Linked DNA regions of Xenopus tropicalis. The protein of the gene in region 2 purifies or fractionates together with the protein of the main gene of each other region. This does not show direct contact. Links are inferred from orthologs where the notes say so. Each region holds a gene or a part of one and is shown on either strand. Other genes may lie near its edges.

Region 1 (8,693 bases), on a different chromosome or scaffold from region 2:
GTGCCATGGTAAGACAATAAGCCAGTTCATTTCATAACTTTGAAATATCACAGAGATGGCAGGGAACAGCACGCATACCTACAAACCCTTGTAAGAGACAACAGAAAGTATTTAGTTAAAGTTATTTCAGCTCCATGAGGAGCTTCAGTTACTAAACAGAGAATTATTTTACTCACTGCAGTGCTGTACTTTGCAATTCAACCCAATTCTGTTGTGTAAGGGCTTGTACCCACATGTTTATTTTCTTTTATGTTGTACTCCCACGTGTTTAGTTGTGTTTTCTGCATTCGCATTTCATCACTTTTTTTAGAAGCAACATGCTGCATTTGCTTGACGCATGTTCAGGGTTTAGTAGAATAGAGGGTTGCATTTGGAAATGACAAAAACACAACTATCTGTGTTTAAAAAATGCATATAAATTCATAAAAATGAGTTAGGCAAACTTTTCATACCTACAGGACACTTAGTCATAGGCTAAACATGTACAAACAATCCCAATATTTAAAGGAGGAAGCACCAATGGGTGCTGTTTAAAGGAACAGCGTACCCTATTTATAACCAAGAATTGCAAGAATTTGCTTCACGTGCACTTCTATTAAATTCTTCATTGAGTATAAACGTATGAGAAAGAAGAATATTTTTTATTGACTTGAGCATATTTTATTTTCTTGTACCTTAATATGTGTATCCTGTTTTGTACATGTTTAGCCTACGTGGTATAAATAAAGGGTTATTCTTTTCACTTTTACTTTTTGATGGCCTGTTTTATGGATCTTCATTATAACTATTCCTTTTTGCATCTTTACAGTCCCCTAAGCTGAGGGTCTGGGGTTGGAGCATCTAGACCACGTTATAATACTGGTGAGTTACCCACTATGAATTGTGTTTTAGTGGTTTTTGTTTTTCATTAATTTTGTCAGGATGTAACTGGGCATGGCCAGGGCTGAATGGAAGATGGTCTAATTTGTCTCTCATTTGATAATTCAGACTTGTGGAATATTTAACACTATAAAAGGGAGCACATTTATTAAAGGACAAGAAACCCCCTACTTACTTTGGGGAGTTGCAAAATGTTAAGCACCCCTCTAGTGAATAGAATCACAAGCTATGTTATCTTAGGTTATGTTATCGCCTATATGACCTGTGCCTTTTCTCCTTTTTTCCAGCTGGAATGGCTGTCCCCATGGCTACACAGCAGCTTAATCATATTTACTATAGTAGTGTTACTAGTGCAAGGCAACAGTACATTATATTTTAATTACTTTAAAACACTCATTTTGGTGTTACTGTTCCTTTCAATAAGGGAGTCAGATAAATTAGGTATTGGTATTGCAAATGTCACAATAAAGATAAATCATGATTATATCAGAAAAAAAATATTGTGACAAGATTTTAAATAAATGTGCTTTAAAGTGTCCAGATTTATTGACCCGAAGACAATGATGAACAATTATTTTATATTTTTTTCACTATAATTTGCATGGTGGCTGTCACCAAATTGCTCTTGACAAGTGACATTGTTGAACCTTCCTACAAACATCTTTCAAACCTTGGACCTTCCAACAGACATCTGTTTTTCCATAAGTTTTAATTACAACATTTGCCTTTGCTTTCACAATACTTTCTGTCCTAGGTAATCCATCTGGAACAAATTGATTGCTGCTCTGACTGAGAGTTGTCACACTGAATAGGTATGTATTATGCACACTACCATCTAAACACAGAAAAAGAAAGGATCTTTTTGTATCTAAAAATGGAGTGACATTCAGGAGAACGCCATATTTGCGTGTCCTGGAATGCACTCCCCTCGAGACATTTATGGTTCTCTGAATAGTTCCTGTTGCAGGAAGCTGGTTTCCAGGGAGTTCACATCACTTTCATAATAAGGCAAAAACAGCTTATCTGACGATAGATGTCACTGGAAATGCTCAGAATATCTCATCTGTTTCTTCTCAGCCTACCTGGCAGCCTGCACCTGGCAGTGTTCTCCGCAAATATTTTCAACTTTTGTTTAAATACTTGGGGATATATTTATCAAAGAGTAAAAGAGCGTGTTGCAGTCTGCCAGAGTGAAATTCCGCCACCTTCCATTTATTTCTTTGGGATTTTTCAGAGTATTTATCAATAAATAAAGGTGAAAGTTCACCTTTTGATAAACATGCATTTAAAAATACCATAGAAATGATTAGAGTGGAGGAATTTCACTCTAGAGGACTGTAGCAAGCTCTAATTTCACTCTTTGATAAATATACCCCTGGATTTATGCCAGGGATCCCCAACCTTTTATATCTGTGAGTCACATTCAAATGGAAAAAGTGCTGGGGAACAACACAAGCAGGGAAAAAGTTCCTGGGGTGCAAATAAGAGCTATAATTGGCTATTTGGTAGCCCCTATGTGGACTGGCAACCTGCAGAAGGCTCTGTTTGGGTTTTATGCAATCAACAGTTGCCTCCAAGCCAGAAATTAAAAAATAAGCACCTGCTTTGAGGCCACTGGGAGAAACATCCAAGGGGCTGGGGAGAAACATGTTGCTCACGAACCACTGATGGGGATCACTGATTTATGCTGTGGAAACAAGAATTGTTAAATTTTAATCCTTGAAAAACCAGAAGGGAAAATGCTGCTGGCTGGGGGACCAGGGGAGAAATAGGGGAGTTGACAGCTCTATACTTTAAAGTACAAAAACACTTTAAAGATGACTAGTGACAGGCAATTCTAACCTTTTTTGTTTTGCCAAAAATACACAAATCGTAATTAGTAGGCTTTCTTTGTAAAACTAATTTTTGCTGCCATTGGAGTCCATGGACTTTTTTATGGCAAAATACCTGGTGAAGAAAACTTCACCTGGGCCTTGGTTGCACTAAAAGAGAAAATATGTATTGTTTTCAGTTCCCTGCCACAGATGGAAGCTGAGCAGAAATTATAAGGCTTCTGAGAAATTTTGGGGAGCTGTGATAGCGGAGGGCACAACCAACACAAAAATTCTTTTTTCGCTCTTTCTTTTTTTTTCCTCTATGAGGTGCAACCAAGATTTTTTTTTGTAAGCAGACTCAACGCCGCATACTAGACACTTCTAATTGCGTAACGCCGTTACGTCGTCTCCGCTCTTCAGTCTTAACGCCAAATCTCGCGAGATGAGACTTGCGCAGTCGGGATTTTCTGACAGAAGCATGAGACTTGCTGTTAACTTTTCCGAAGGCAGGAGTAGCGCTCTGAGTTTGCGGTGTGTGTTAGGTAAAGCGCAATTCTTGGGCACTGTGCATATTCTTGTATTAGAGGGTGAAGTTTGAACTCCCCCCGAATATTAATGCATACAGTGTTTTGTCATGGAAACCATGTTTCAATAATTAATACGTTTTTTTTAGATGTTATCGTCAGGATTCTTCATTGATGGATACGGTTCTAAAATGTCTACCCTCCAACCCAGACGACCATTGCTCACAACGATGCAGACTTGGTCCCAAAGCGATGGCTTTGATTGGAGCAAAAGTCGGATTCCCGGTTCTTGTCTCCTTGCAGAGTGGAAGCTGCTTGTGCACTGCTTGGCCCAGGAGAGATCTGTGCGATGGCTTTGTGCAAGCTGATTATATGTGCTCGACTTCACATAAACCCATGGCTGTATTTAAGGACACCGGCATATGTTTAAATCAGATAAAATCCATGGCTTCTACCAAACTCAGAAAGGTCTCAGTGAAAGTTGTAGTGAGAAGCCTAGATGTGAAGCGGGCTACCTCAGAAGCAGCACTCCTTGAGACTGTCAGAGATCTACTAAGAAACGTTTTTGTGCTGAATGATTATGTGTTATCTGTAAATGCAGATTCCCCAGTTGTTCACATTGAAATACTTGATACAGATCCTGCAACAAGCAATGCCGGCCTTATTACAGGCAAAACAAGCATAGTCATTAAAGAAGTCATCACCCTTGAATGGTACAAACATAAGTTACAGGAGGCCCCTCAATTAAAGGTTGCGGCTATGGATGACACGTGTGCCTCACTAAAGGAAATAATTCATATGCCGTTACATTATCCAGAGACCATGCACAAACTTGGCCTCCCTTGCCCGAAAGGTGTTCTCTTGATTGGGCCCCCAGGGGTTGGAAAGACCCTTTTGGTAAAGGCTGTAGCTAGAGAAGTCGGGGCGTATGTAATTGGCCTGAGTGGTCCCGCAATTCACGGCTCAAGACCTGGAGAAAGCGAAGAGAATTTACGGAAGATTTTTGAAAAAGCAAGAGAAGCTGCATGTAGTGGCCCAGCTCTGCTCTTTATAGATGAAGTTGATGCCTTATGTCCTAAACGTGGCCATTCAAACAGTGCTCCCGAAAACCGCGTTGTTGCTCAGCTGTTAACTCTAATGGATGGTATTGACAGTGACAATAAGATGGTTACTGTAGCTGCAACAAGCAGGCCTGATGCCATTGATCCAGCATTAAGAAGACCAGGCAGATTTGACAGGGAGGTAAATATAAAAATAATTTTTCTTTTGTCTCCTTTAACAGCCCCACAAAATAAGCTGTTGGCATCTGACAGATAATGTGAGAGATCTCATGAGTAGGATAAGACCTGGGACTTCACCACATTTCAAAAAGACATCATTATATGTATTTAGCATGTAACCTCAGTAGCCTAAGCTATTCTCTTTGTAATATATATATATATATACTTGGGTTACCTCTGCTATTGTCTGTTTTACTTACGAGAGAGAGGGAGAGAGAGAAAATAAAAAAGACCAGCAACTCTGGGATTTCTTGTGAAAAAATCAAAACATATATTTAAAGTAGCATAAACAGCCGACGTAACGTTTCGGTCCCCAGCATAACCTAGCGTCTCTAGCATGTATGCCCTTGGTGTTTTTGTGACCCAGTGAATTGTATGAGCCAGGGGGAAGGTCCTTAGCATTAACAAATGTCAATTTCTACTTAGGTTTATTCAGTGGCAAATACTGCTAGAAAAGGATGTTTTTATTAAAATTAAGCAGTGTTTTACATATGGGCTATTATATGCACTATAATTTTACAGAGACCTACATTGTTCAGGGGTATAGTTTTTTTTGTTTATTTATTGCATTTGAGCATCCATTTGAAAAAAATGCTAATCTGCAACCAATCATTTTTTGGCTTACATATATGTTTTTGCCTGTTAGAAAAGTCACACTACTTAAGTTGCTTTATTAATGTTAGAATTATCACTTAAAGGAGAAGGAAAGGCTAATAAAGAGTTAATCTCAAGCTGCAGGCATACCTTCAGTTGTCTCAATAGTGCCCTTAAGTCTCCCCATACTTCATCTGTTCAGAAGATCAGAAGCCAAACAGGAAAATAAAACGCTGAGCAGGGTAGAGAAGATTCCCATAATGCATCGCTCCTTTCCTAGACTTTCTACTGTAGGCGGCGCATGCGCACACAGCAGGAGCGTCTGGTCGCCATGGCGGTGGTGAACGCTGTGGAGGGGAGCGGGGGCAGGGACAGGTGTGGGGAGCGAAGGACGGTTTGTGGCAGGAGCTTGGAGCGAAGCGGAAGGTTGGTGGGTGAGTGCTGTATGTAACAGTGCTGTATGGCACATGCTGTATTCCATCTGTATCTTTTCCTCCTAGTGCCGAGCGGCGGCGGCAGGGGCGGGGGGGGGTTGCTGCTGGCAGTGTTGATCTGTTTCTCCTCCTGACAATGCCGAGCGGGGTGGGGGGGGTCGGGGGGTGCTGCCAGCAGTGTCGATCTGTTTCTCCTCGTGACAGTGCCGAGCGGTGGCAGCAGCGGGGGAAGGGGGGGGGGTGCTGCCGGCAGTGGAAGCTCTGTGTGTTGATCTGTGACATGCTGGGGGGGGGGGGATGTGGCAGGACACTCTGTGACATGCTGGACAAGATGGCGGCGCCGTTCACTGAAACAAGTGTGTAGGTTCTAGTAAATGTATCTCTGTAAATCTTTCATTAGGCAAGCCAGAAATATAGCATTTTTACACAGCAATAGTAGTACTATTTAATAGTGTGCTTAATAGATTTTGACTTTCCTTGTCCTTTAAGCATACCACAATTAATGCCTATTTCTATCACTAAAAGTTGTCTATTGGATAGTATGTGATATCAATTATGAATGTAAAGTAAATAGTGTTAAAGACACAAAAGCCTTTATTCCTATTATCTTAAAATAAACATCGCTAAAAAAAGATAGAAAAGATAAGAAGGAAAGTTAAAAAATCGAATTCACACCCTGAATCTCAATCAAATGTAACTGACTCACTCGTGGATACTATTACTTAAATTGTTTCTTTAGTATCACCAATGACTTGTGTTGGCAACATATGTAACATGTGCATAACTAACGCACCCACAGTAAGAGTTGTTACATATGTTGCCAACACAAGTCATTGGTGATACTAAAGAAACAATTTAAGTAATAGTATCCACGAGTGAGTCAGTTACATTTGATTGAGATTCAGGGTGTGAATTCGATTTTTTAACTTTCCTTCTTATCTTTTCTATCTTTTTTTAGCTATGTTTATTTTAAGATAATAGGAATGGTTATATTTTATTGAATCTAACAGGTGTGCCAGTTTCTTTTTGTGTCTTTAACACTATTTACTTTACTCCAAATATACATACTGAGCACCCTGTATTTAAACTGTAGTGCAAGGTTTTTCTATTGGGATATCAATTATGAATGTAACTGCTCAAACATGAATTAAATTGGGGAGGAGTAATACATAATGTATTATTAGTGAATTATTTCACACAGTAAAATGCTGAGAGCTGAACAGCATGAGCAAATGTTATTGCCAAATTAATCATCTGACCTCTTTCTATTATATAATGCAAAAGTCTTTGATGGTATCATGAACATCTGTTTTTCTGATATTTTTAAGGTAATCATTGGAACTCCTACTCATAAGCAACGGCAAGCTATTCTGGAAATGATGATATCAAACATGCCCACTGATAGAGATGTAGATGCGGCAGCCTTGGCAGATGTGACAGTGGGATATGTTGGTGCCGATCTCACTGCCCTGTGCAGAGATGCAGCTATGCAGGCTGTACTTCAGGCCAGTTTGGTAAGATGTTGTAGTAGATTTATTGTAATTAGAAGTAAAATCATTTACTACCTGAGCAGAATCCAGAGCCTTATATTCAGATCAAATGTCCTATATTATAGGTAATGTAAGCCAACACTCATTTAAAGCATTGTGCTTCTTGTTTTCTGTTATTGAAATATAACTCTAACCCTTGGTAGCATTAGAATCCTAACATTGTTTCCTTGCCTTTCAGGACAGTCTGTGTAATTTAGTGAGCAGAGCACATTTTTATGAAGCATTTAAAAGGATTCGACCCTCTTCCGCACGAAGCTCAATTGGTCGGGTGGAGTTTAAGCCAGTTCATTGGGAGCATATTGGAGGTCTTGAAGATATCAAGCACAAGCTAAGACAGGTTATTATGGGAGCAAGGAGATCATTCCATTGTAGCTACTGTGGACTATGATACCTAGAATTGAGCAAATACTTTGGGAATAATGTTTGAAATAATACTAGGGAAAAAAAAAAGGAAAATACCCCTTATATTTAATGTTTATTGTATCCCATTCTTAATCGCAGGCAACCCACAGGTAAGCACATCTTACATTACGAGCTATAATTCATAATTTTTATTTCTATGGGTTGAATGGCTCATTAAATTGTGAGCTGTTGTAGAAAACTTTATAAAATTGTCTGACAAAGTTCTATGTGTGCAACGGCTAGGGGGGAGCAAGTTTGACAGTCTTTACAAAAGTATTGATGACTGGATAAATAAACCAATTTAGAAGCATTATATTAAATGGATCCGAAAACAATTTGTAGCAGGCGACTAGTCTCCCTGGCTGCCACAGCCCTTAAAGGGGGTCTCCTGTTACTTTTGGAAAACTGTGGAAGTATCTTAGTTAGGGTTAGTCATTTCAGTTGGTTGCCAATAAATTAGTGTTTTCTGTGCTCAAACATCTTGAGCAATAACAAAGGTGTTCATGTTTTGCTGGGCATTGACAATGTAGTAGGAAGGAACTAAAGTATTTAAAAGTGGTCAAATTGCATCAGCGGTTTATTCTTCATGTTCATAGATAGTTATATTGGCAGATTTGTCTTAGCATTTTGTTACAACGGCTTTTATTGTAGAAACACAGAACAACCACTGTGACATTAGCTGAGAAGTTAAAGCAACAGTAACACCAAAATGAATACGTATCTAGGTAATTCAAATATATATATATATACTGTTGCACTACTTCACTGGTAAAAGTTGTGTATTCTGTTCAGAAACACTATTATCATTTTATATAAACAAAGCTGCTGTGTAGTCATAGGATCTGTCATTCCCATTGAAATGGGGCTACATGGCATAGGTTAGATATCAGATAACAAATAAAAAAAACAGTTATCTGTTATATAACCTTATATATCCTTTTTCCAGCTCAAATGGCTGCCAATGTGGCTAAACAGCATCTTATTTATATAAACTATAGTAGTGTTTCTGAAGCAAAAATACAACTGTTACCAGGGCAGTGTAGCAGTACATTGTATTTTTATTACTTTAAAACCTTTCATTTTGGTGAGAGATGTGTGAACCTATTTATATGGAAGCAGCCCATGAGCTGAGGGTGTACACAGGATTAAACATGATAGTTCCACTGTAAATGTTTCTACTTTGTTATACCATATTCTGTTCTGAAAAACACAAGGA
Region 2 (8,593 bases):
CCCCAGGGATTTCTGATTCTGATCAGCTTTTCCAGGTTCCCTCGATATTGCACCTTGGAGAGGAAAGAACATTAACTCATAGAGAACTGCATCATTAGGTTGAATATATGGGTCAGTTACAGTGGATAAATAAAATATTTCAGCAACAGGAACAAATAGACGGTTGAGATCAGCACAACAGTAGAAGATGGGGGATTGGGAAGTGGGTCAGTCCAGCCCAATAGCTAGCTGACGTTACCCATATTAGGGCCACAAACAACAATGGTCATGTGACTCTAGGTCAACGCCCAACGGCAATAGAATTCCATCGCTATAAAGTGACCATAAGTTTTTGAACAAGCAGAAAATCCAAGGCTATTGTGATACTAATATCTACAGTTAGTATTAATGTGTGTATATATAGTTTATGTATGTGAGTGTATAGATTGGTTAGTATAGGGTGTGGGTGCTGGGTTTACTTGGAAGGGTTGAACTTGATGGACTCTGGTCTTTTTTCCACCCTATGTAACTATGTAACCATACCCTCCATAAAATACGTAGTTATGTGTTGGTAAAGCATATGTACCCAGCAACTACTTCCATTTACTCATATTCCATAGGAGGAGCAGAAATAACGGTGGACACCAACCTCTTCTGCTGCAGTCACAGAGTAGGCATGGCCCTTCACGAGCTTCTGGAATGTGATGGCTTCTGTCTCCGCTGCACTTGTGATCTGAAAGAATTACAAAAATGCAAACAAATGATATTATTTCGCTTTTGATTGTTGGAGAATGCGCACAGTGATTTGGGATTCTCTAGGCATATATATCAGTTTGGGAAGGGGGTGAGTAATAAGTAATCACTTAAAAATACTATGATTTGGGGGATAAAGACAAAGTAAATACGGTACATGTGGGAGATGTTCATGGGGGTTTAGCGGTACCAGGAATCTGGGCATTAAAGCTATCTTGGGGGGGCCAAATATGGGCTCTAGCAGCAGTTATAGTATGAGGAGTGGATGACATCAGTTATTACAGAGTAAGATGGAAACCACAGGGAAGACGGGGATAGGAACTTGTTATATCAGGGTTGCCACTTTTTCTTATAGTGGCCTTTCTATATTTTTATGTTTTTCCCTATTAATAACATTGGTATCAAGCATCAATTTACCAGCCAGCTGGCAACCTCTGCCTGTGGTACTAGGGACACAAAGGCCTTAACAGATCCCTAGGCAGCCATTTTTGGTACATTAAGTTCAAACCATGGATTCCACCCAGAGCATTATTATTAAGACATGAACGCTAGGGCAAGGAATCCAGACTGAAGGCTTTAGCCATCTATTCCAGGATCTACTGAACACAAAGAATAAAAGAAGTGACACGCACATCTATAGAGCAGCCCAGCAGAGATCCAGTCCTCAGAGCTTTCTGGATAATCTTGAACAGATTGGGTGGGGCCTTCCTCAGTTCATACCACTCTGCAAGTCCACCTGTGAAATCTTCAAACCCTTCGGTGGTGGTCCCACCCGAGAGAGCTTCATAGGATCCGTTCAGTCTACGTGACAGCAAAATACAGGATTAAGGACTGAGTTGGTTGGCCACTGCACCCCCCCAATGTCCAATCAAATATTTCCCTTCATTACAGTAAATGCTCTAGAAAAGTCAATGTTAATTGATAATTGGTTGTTGTGCAGTGGTTCATAATCCATCACAGTGATCTGTACGAAAGCTCTGCTGTGTTGGCTATTCAGTTAGAGCCAAAGGGATATCTATATCATTAAATTTAATCATAGCTAACCTTCAGGATTGACTTCCAGCAAAAGTCCTTTTGTATTGTACTTACTTGGCATAAGCCTTCTCCATGAGTGCGCTCCAGAACTCACTCCCCTCCGCTGAATGCACAAAAAGCAGCTTCCCATCCTTGGTTGGCAGACGATCATCAATGACAACATCCACCCACTCACCGTACTGCCAGAACTGAAAATAAATGAGGTGGAGTAATATTTACAGTCCAGCCACCAGGAGGCGCTGTGTAGAATTCCCTCTCTCCCTTTACTAAATGACCACCAGGAGGCGCTGTGTAGAATACCCTATCTCCCTTCCCTTTACTAAATGACCACCAGGAGGCGCTGTGTAGAATACCCTATCTCCCTTCCCTTTACTAAATGGCCACCAGGAGGCGCTGTGTAGAATTCCCTCTCTCCCTTCCCTTTACTAAATGGCCACCAGGAGGCGCTGTGTAGAATACCCTATCTCCCTTCCCTTTACTAAATGGCCACCAGGAGGCGCTGTGTAGAATTCCCTCTCTCCCTTCCCTTTACTAAATGGCCACCAGGAGGCGCTGTGTAGAATACCCTATCTCCCTTCCCTTTACTAAATGGCCACCAGGAGGCGCTGTGTAGAATTCCCTCTCTCCCTTTACTAAATGACCACCAGGAGGCGCTGTGTAGAATTCCCTCTCTCCCTTCCCTTTACTAAATGGCCACCAGGAGGCGCTGTGTAGAATACCCTATCTCCCTTCCCTTTACTAAATGGCCACCAGGAGGCGCTGTGTAGAATTCCCTCTCTCCCTTCCCTTTACTAAATGGCCACCAGGAGGCGCTGTGTAGAATACCCTATCTCCCTTCCCTTTACTAAATGGCCACCAGGAGGCGCTGTGTAGAATTCCCTCTCTCCCTTTACTAAATGACCACCAGGAGGCGCTGTGTAGAATTCCCTCTCTCCCTTCCCTTTACTAAATGGCCACCAGGAGGCGCTGTGTAGAATACCCTCTCTCCCTTCCCTTTACTAAATGGCCACCAGGAGGCGCTGTGTAGAATACCCTCTGTCCCTTCCATTTACTAAATGGCCACCAGGAGGCGCTGTGTAGAATTCCCTCTCTCCCTTCCCTTTACTAAATGGCCACCAGGAGGCGCTGTGTAGAATACCCTCTGTCCCTTCCATTTACTAAATGGCCACCAGGAGGCGCTGTGTAGAATTCCCTCTCTCCCTTCCCTTTACTAAATGGCCACCAGGAGGCGCTGTGTAGAATACCCTCTCTCCCTTCCCTTTACTAAATAGCCACCAGGAGGCGCTGTGTAGAATACACTCTCTCCCTTCTCTTTACTAAATAGCCACCAGGAGGCGCTGTGTAGAATACCCTCTCTCCCTTGCCTTTACTAAATAGCCACCAGGAGGCGCTGTGTAGAATTCCCTCTCTCCCTTCCCTTTACTAAAAGGAGATCTTCGGCACCCAATTGTTCCAATCACAACACACACACAGAACCCAATCAGCCACGTCTCTTTGCATGAAAACAACAATGAACTGATTTCCCTGCTGAATTTCCATTGCAAATGAATAGGTCCAGCCGGTGGATTCCCCCCAAAGATATGAAATTTTGGAGGCAGAACAATTACCTGGAAGTGGAATATTCCGGCATAGTTCTCTTGGAAGCTCTGATCCTTTGGAACAACCCGGGACAGAATCTGCTCATTCAGGGTGAGGGAGGCAATGGCCGCAAGTAACCAGCAGTCACCTGGGGAAACACAGAGGGAGTCAGTGTCTGTGGGGCTGTGTGTGTACTCAGTCTGCTCGGCTGGAACTCAGCAATGGGCTGGGGGGGGGGGGGGGGCATCATGGGATTTTCCTGTATACGGTTATGGCAGGAATAAACAGTCTCAGGCAGTTTTCCATAAAACAAATCTGAAAAATATTCTGTCCTACTGGGAAGCTGCAAATGTGCTTTGCTCTGCAATAATATGGCATAAATGCACCGACTTCATGCCATCCGCAGGGTATTTCCAGATAACAAATCCTATACCTGTATACACAGGGATCAGCAAACAGGTATAGGATTCGTTAACCCATTATCCAAAAAGCTCTGAATTACAGGAAGGCCGTCTCCCACAGACTTAATTTTAATCAAATAATTCACATTTTTAAATTTGATTTCCTTGTACTTGATCCCAACTAAGATATAATTACCCCTTATTGGGGCAGAACAGCCCTATTGGGTTTATTTAATGGTTAAATGATTCCCTTTTCTCTGTAATAATAAAACAGTACCTGTACTTGATCCCAACTAAGATATAATTACCCCTTATTGGGGCAGAACAGCCCTATTGGGTTTATTTAATGGTTAAATGATTCCCTTTTCTCTGTAATAATAAAACAGTACCTGTACTTGATCCCAACTAAGATATAATTACCCCTTATTGGGGCAGAACAGCCCTATTGGGTTTATTTAATGGTTAAATGATTCCCTTTTCTCTGTAATAATAAAACAGTACCTGTACTTGATCCCAACTAAGATATAATTACCCCTTATTGGGGCAGAACAGCCCTATTGGGTTTATTTCATGGTTAAATGATTCCCTTTTCTCTGTAATAATAAAACAGTACCTGTACTTGATCCCAACTAAGATATAATTACCCCTTATTGGGGCAGAACAGCCCTATTGGGTTTATTTCATGGTTAAATGATTCCTTTTTCTCTGTAATAATAAAACAGTACCTGTACTTGATCCCAACTAAGATATAATTACCCCTTATTGGGGCAGAACAGCCCTATTGGGTTTATTTAATGGTTAAATGATTCCATGGTAACTCTGGTTTGATTGAAAGGGAAAACTCTATATTAAAGGGCACATATACCATCCCACCATGATTTTTGGGGGGGGGGGGGGTCTGTGTAGGAATTAACCCCTAAACTCCTTCTCTGTAGGGATCCTCAGTATCTACAGAAGGTCTTAAAAGGCTATAATGCATTTTGCTCAGCTGAAGGCGCCAGATCCCCTTTGGCTCCCAATATTCGCGTGAGTGATGCCTGGAACTTTAAGCCCAGAGGCGTTTGCAGTCTGATATCCATTAAGTATTTGTGCACAAACCCACACCCACACCTACACCCACACCTACACCGGGCTCGATCCCATCACCTGCAGTGTGGGAGGAAACCTGAGCACCCAAGGGACCGGGGCCATTTGTAACCCAATACTAAAAATAAAGCTGCTCTGAGCCTGGGAGTGGCCCTGTGGGGCAGGTGGGGGCCTACAATTACCAGTTCTTCACATAACAAATAATAATGACATTATTACCCTGAGCCATTCCAACAAAGACCAATTATATCTCTTTATTGCTCCCTTTTAAAGGATCAATAGACGACTAACAACAAAAAAATGCTACAGGATTGTTCAGCCATTAACATGGATTTAAGCGGCTTATTTACCCTTGAGTACAAGGTACTGGCCCGACTCGCATTGTTACAGAGAGAAGGAAATGGGTCACAAACGGAGAGAGGTTGTGGGGAGACAATGGCACTTTATGGTGCTGAAGATTCTACTAGGGGTGAAATGAAAGGGTTAAATAGGACACAATAAGTAAAGACACTGTCGTATTTTGGAGCTTTCTGGATAATGGATTTCTGAATCATATCTCCTGCATCCCTTCACTTGTTGTCCCCAGTCACCTGGAATGTATACTCAGTCACAGTCTGTGTCTCGGGTTTTGAGATAAGGAGGGGTTCATTATCTAGATGCATTATCTATAGCAGTGATTCATTAGACCAAGTCTTTAGGAGATGAAGCGTCCAATGACGTGAAACTTATTTGGAGGGAGGAGCCATACACAGGCCGATTGTAGCTGCTGATATCGGTCCCTAAAGGTCCCCATACACGGGCCAACTCTAGCTGCTATCGGTCCCTAAAGGTCCCCATACACGGGCCAACTCTAGCTGCTATCGGTCCCTAAAGGTCCCCATACACGGGCCAACTCTAGCTGCTGATATCGGTCCCTAAAGGTCCCCATACACGGGTTGATTTTAGCTGTTGATATTGGTCCCTAAAGGTCCCCATACACGGGTTGATTTTAGCTGTTGATATTGGTCCCTAAAGGTCCCCATACACGGGTTGATTTTAGCTGTTGATATTGGTCCCTAAAGGTCCCCATACACGGGCCGATTCTAGCTGCTGCTATCGGTCCCTAAAGGTCCCCATACACGGGCCGATTCTAGCTGCTGCTATCGGTCCCTAAAGGTCCCCATACACGGGCCGATTCTAGCTGCTGATATCGGTCCCTAAAGGTCCCCATACACGGGCCGATTCTAGCTGCTGCTATCGGTCCCTAAAGGTCCCCATACACGGGCCGATTCTAGCTGCTGATATCGGTCCCTAAAGGTCCCTATACACAGGCCGATTCTAGCTGCTGATATCGGTCCCTAAAGGTCCCCATACATGGGCCAATTCTAGCTGCTGATATTGGTCCCTAAAGGTCCCCATACACGGGCCGATTCTAGCTGCTGATATGGGTCCCTTAGACCAAATCAGCAGCTAGTGCCCGTGTATGGGCACTACCGACGGGCCTGTCTGACCTATATCTAGTCTGAAATCGGCCAGATCTCAATCGGGCAGGTTAGAAAATCTAGTCAGATTGGGACCCCATTGTCTCGTTGATATCCGGATATCGGGTGAAGATCTGCTCGCTTGGCGATCTGGCAATCTCGACCCGACCAACATCTGACCTGAAATTGGGCAGATATCGATCGGGCAGGTTAAAAAATTTAGTCGGATCGGGGACCGCATCAGCTCGTTGATGGGGTCCCCAAACTGACTGCTCCTATTACTGGCGTTCTAATTCGATCGTTTGGCCCCAGGGCCATTAGCCTGAATTCACCCGATATCGCCCACCCGTAGGTGGGGATATCGAGAGAAGATCCGCTCGCTTGGCAACCTCGTGTATGGCCACCTTAAGGTACCTCTGGCCTTTTGAATACATTTATGATTGTTTTGTGCACCAAATAAATATTGTGTGTTACAATAGGGCTTGTCTAGGGGGTGATAATTGAATTTAGGGCTGACTCCATACAACACAACCACAAAAATAAGGATCTTTTGTTTGTGCTTTGGGACAGAAATTCACAGCATTCTTTGTTTTGTTTCTGTGCATATGGAATGATCACTCCAACGTTATGTCATTACACTAATTGGTACAAGGGAAACAAGGCACTCTCCAAGCACAGTTTCTCCTTGGTGTCCTGCCAAAGGCAGCTGATAGTACTAAAGGCAAAGCACCGGGAATGGCAAAACCTCAAAGGAATGTTAATGAAAACATTACATGGCACTAATACACTATGATGGCGCAGCACTGCGACTCCCAGAGGGGGTTAGAATGCAGACTGTACTGCAGCAGCAGTGATGGGGGGGAGATATAGAGCAGGCTGGGGGCTGTGCCATGCACTGCAGGGGTCAATGCTAAGGAAAGGAAGATACTAGGGAGGCTAGGGTGTGTGCCCTGTAATGATGGGAGCAATACTAAGGATATCCTGAGGGTAAGAACCCATGGAGCAGTTCAGTCGCCCGTGATAGATCTCAACAAAACAACGCAAAGGGCTTTCCACCGGCGCCTCCTATTGTTGCCGGTGGAAAACCATTTCAGAGTGGTTAGTTGCCAGCAATAACAGAGATCTATTGGGGGCGACTGAACCGCTCCGTGGGTTCTTGACCTAAAGGAGGCCATACAGGGACAGGTTTCAGCTGATGATTTGGGTCCTCCAGACTGATTCGGTAGCTTATCTGCCCGTGTATAGGAAGCCCCGATGGGCCTACTTGATCAATATCTGGAGGAAAATTGGGCAAATCTCAATCAGGATTCAGGCAGGTTTGATTTTCCGCGTCAAGGAGCTGATATGGTCGGTCCTTGGTCTGTCGGCCCATATACCCGCTGTGTTAATTTGACTGTAAGTGGGCATATCAGGAGACAATCCGCTTGTTTGGTGACTTTGCCAAATGAGCGGATGGCCACCTTCAGAATCAGAAATCAGGTTGGTGTAAGCTTCACCAATCTTCTACAACCATTTGCATGCAGAGGGACAATGGTCCACTACCGCCACTACCACTATGTTTGGGCAAGAAAAGAAATTATTAAACCATACAAAAAGCTGTACCTGTAGCAGGTTGGGGACCACAAATATCTTAGTGCATTTGGTAGCCCTCCAGTTGGGGAGCTATGAGTGCTTTAATAATGGTTATGACACACAGTGAGATACGCAATCTCCTTCATGTGTATAAATACCCTGCAGTGTAGTGACCCAGGCGCTGACCTGCAACTAGTGGGACCTGAAAGTTTACCCTTACTTGGGTTAGGGTTGGAATTTAGGTGACCATTGTGGGTCAGGCTTGGGGGTGGGTCAGACTGGGGAAGTACACTCTTCTGCTCCCAAAGTTTCCCTGTCTTGGAACCTAAGGTGTGCGCAGAAGTAGCCCATAAAGGGAAAGATGCAAGTACAGGTTGGGTGCGGGTCCTACAATTGCAACATTTTGCATTTTATCCTGACCCAAGCATACAACTGCAGCAGATGGTGTGCTGGCTGCTATAATCCAGGCTGTGTGAGTGCTCTGCTTTCCTACTGCGGAAGTGAAGGGAACCCAGGAGATTCATTACTTGAACCAAAGCCATGAATCAATGCTGAGAAACAGGATAATAACGTTTCTGCCAAGTTACCTGTAAATACAGACACACCCAGTGGCATCTGGAGAAGAGCTCTGTATTGGTTTTTCCCAGCTAGGACAACTAAAGCCTAAAAACAATCATTGCTGAATTTTATATCCTGTCCTTATGGTGCCAGCCCAGAGGTTCAGCAGCC

Evidence for each region.
Region 1: the proteins of capn2 (region 2) and spata5l1 purify together in Homo sapiens (co-immunoprecipitation; 3 studies listed by BioGRID and IntAct, with this or other methods). This does not show direct contact. The link is inferred for Xenopus tropicalis from reciprocal best matches to the Homo sapiens genes CAPN2 and AFG2B.

What each region holds. Positions count from the first base shown.
Region 1 is NC_030679.2:104,566,767-104,575,459, forward strand, and holds the start of spata5l1 (spermatogenesis-associated protein 5-like protein 1), read left to right. Parts: upstream 1-3,224; 5' UTR 3,225-3,235; intron 3,236-3,366; coding exon of another isoform or gene 3,367-3,391; coding exon 3,392-4,459; intron 4,460-6,853; coding exon 6,854-7,039; intron 7,040-7,253; coding exon 7,254-7,412; intron 7,413-8,693. UniProt on the Homo sapiens protein: ATP-dependent chaperone part of the 55LCC heterohexameric ATPase complex which is chromatin-associated and promotes replisome proteostasis to maintain replication fork progression and genome stability.
Region 2 is NC_030681.2:9,038,972-9,047,564, forward strand, and holds part of capn2 (calpain-2 catalytic subunit), read right to left. Parts: intron 5,032-8,593; exon of another isoform or gene 5,018-5,031; intron 3,494-5,017; coding exon 3,375-3,493; intron 1,956-3,374; coding exon 1,822-1,955; intron 1,534-1,821; coding exon 1,365-1,533; intron 713-1,364; coding exon 629-712; intron 54-628; coding exon 1-53. UniProt on the Homo sapiens protein: Calcium-regulated non-lysosomal thiol-protease which catalyzes limited proteolysis of substrates involved in cytoskeletal remodeling and signal transduction. Proteolytically cleaves MYOC at 'Arg-226'.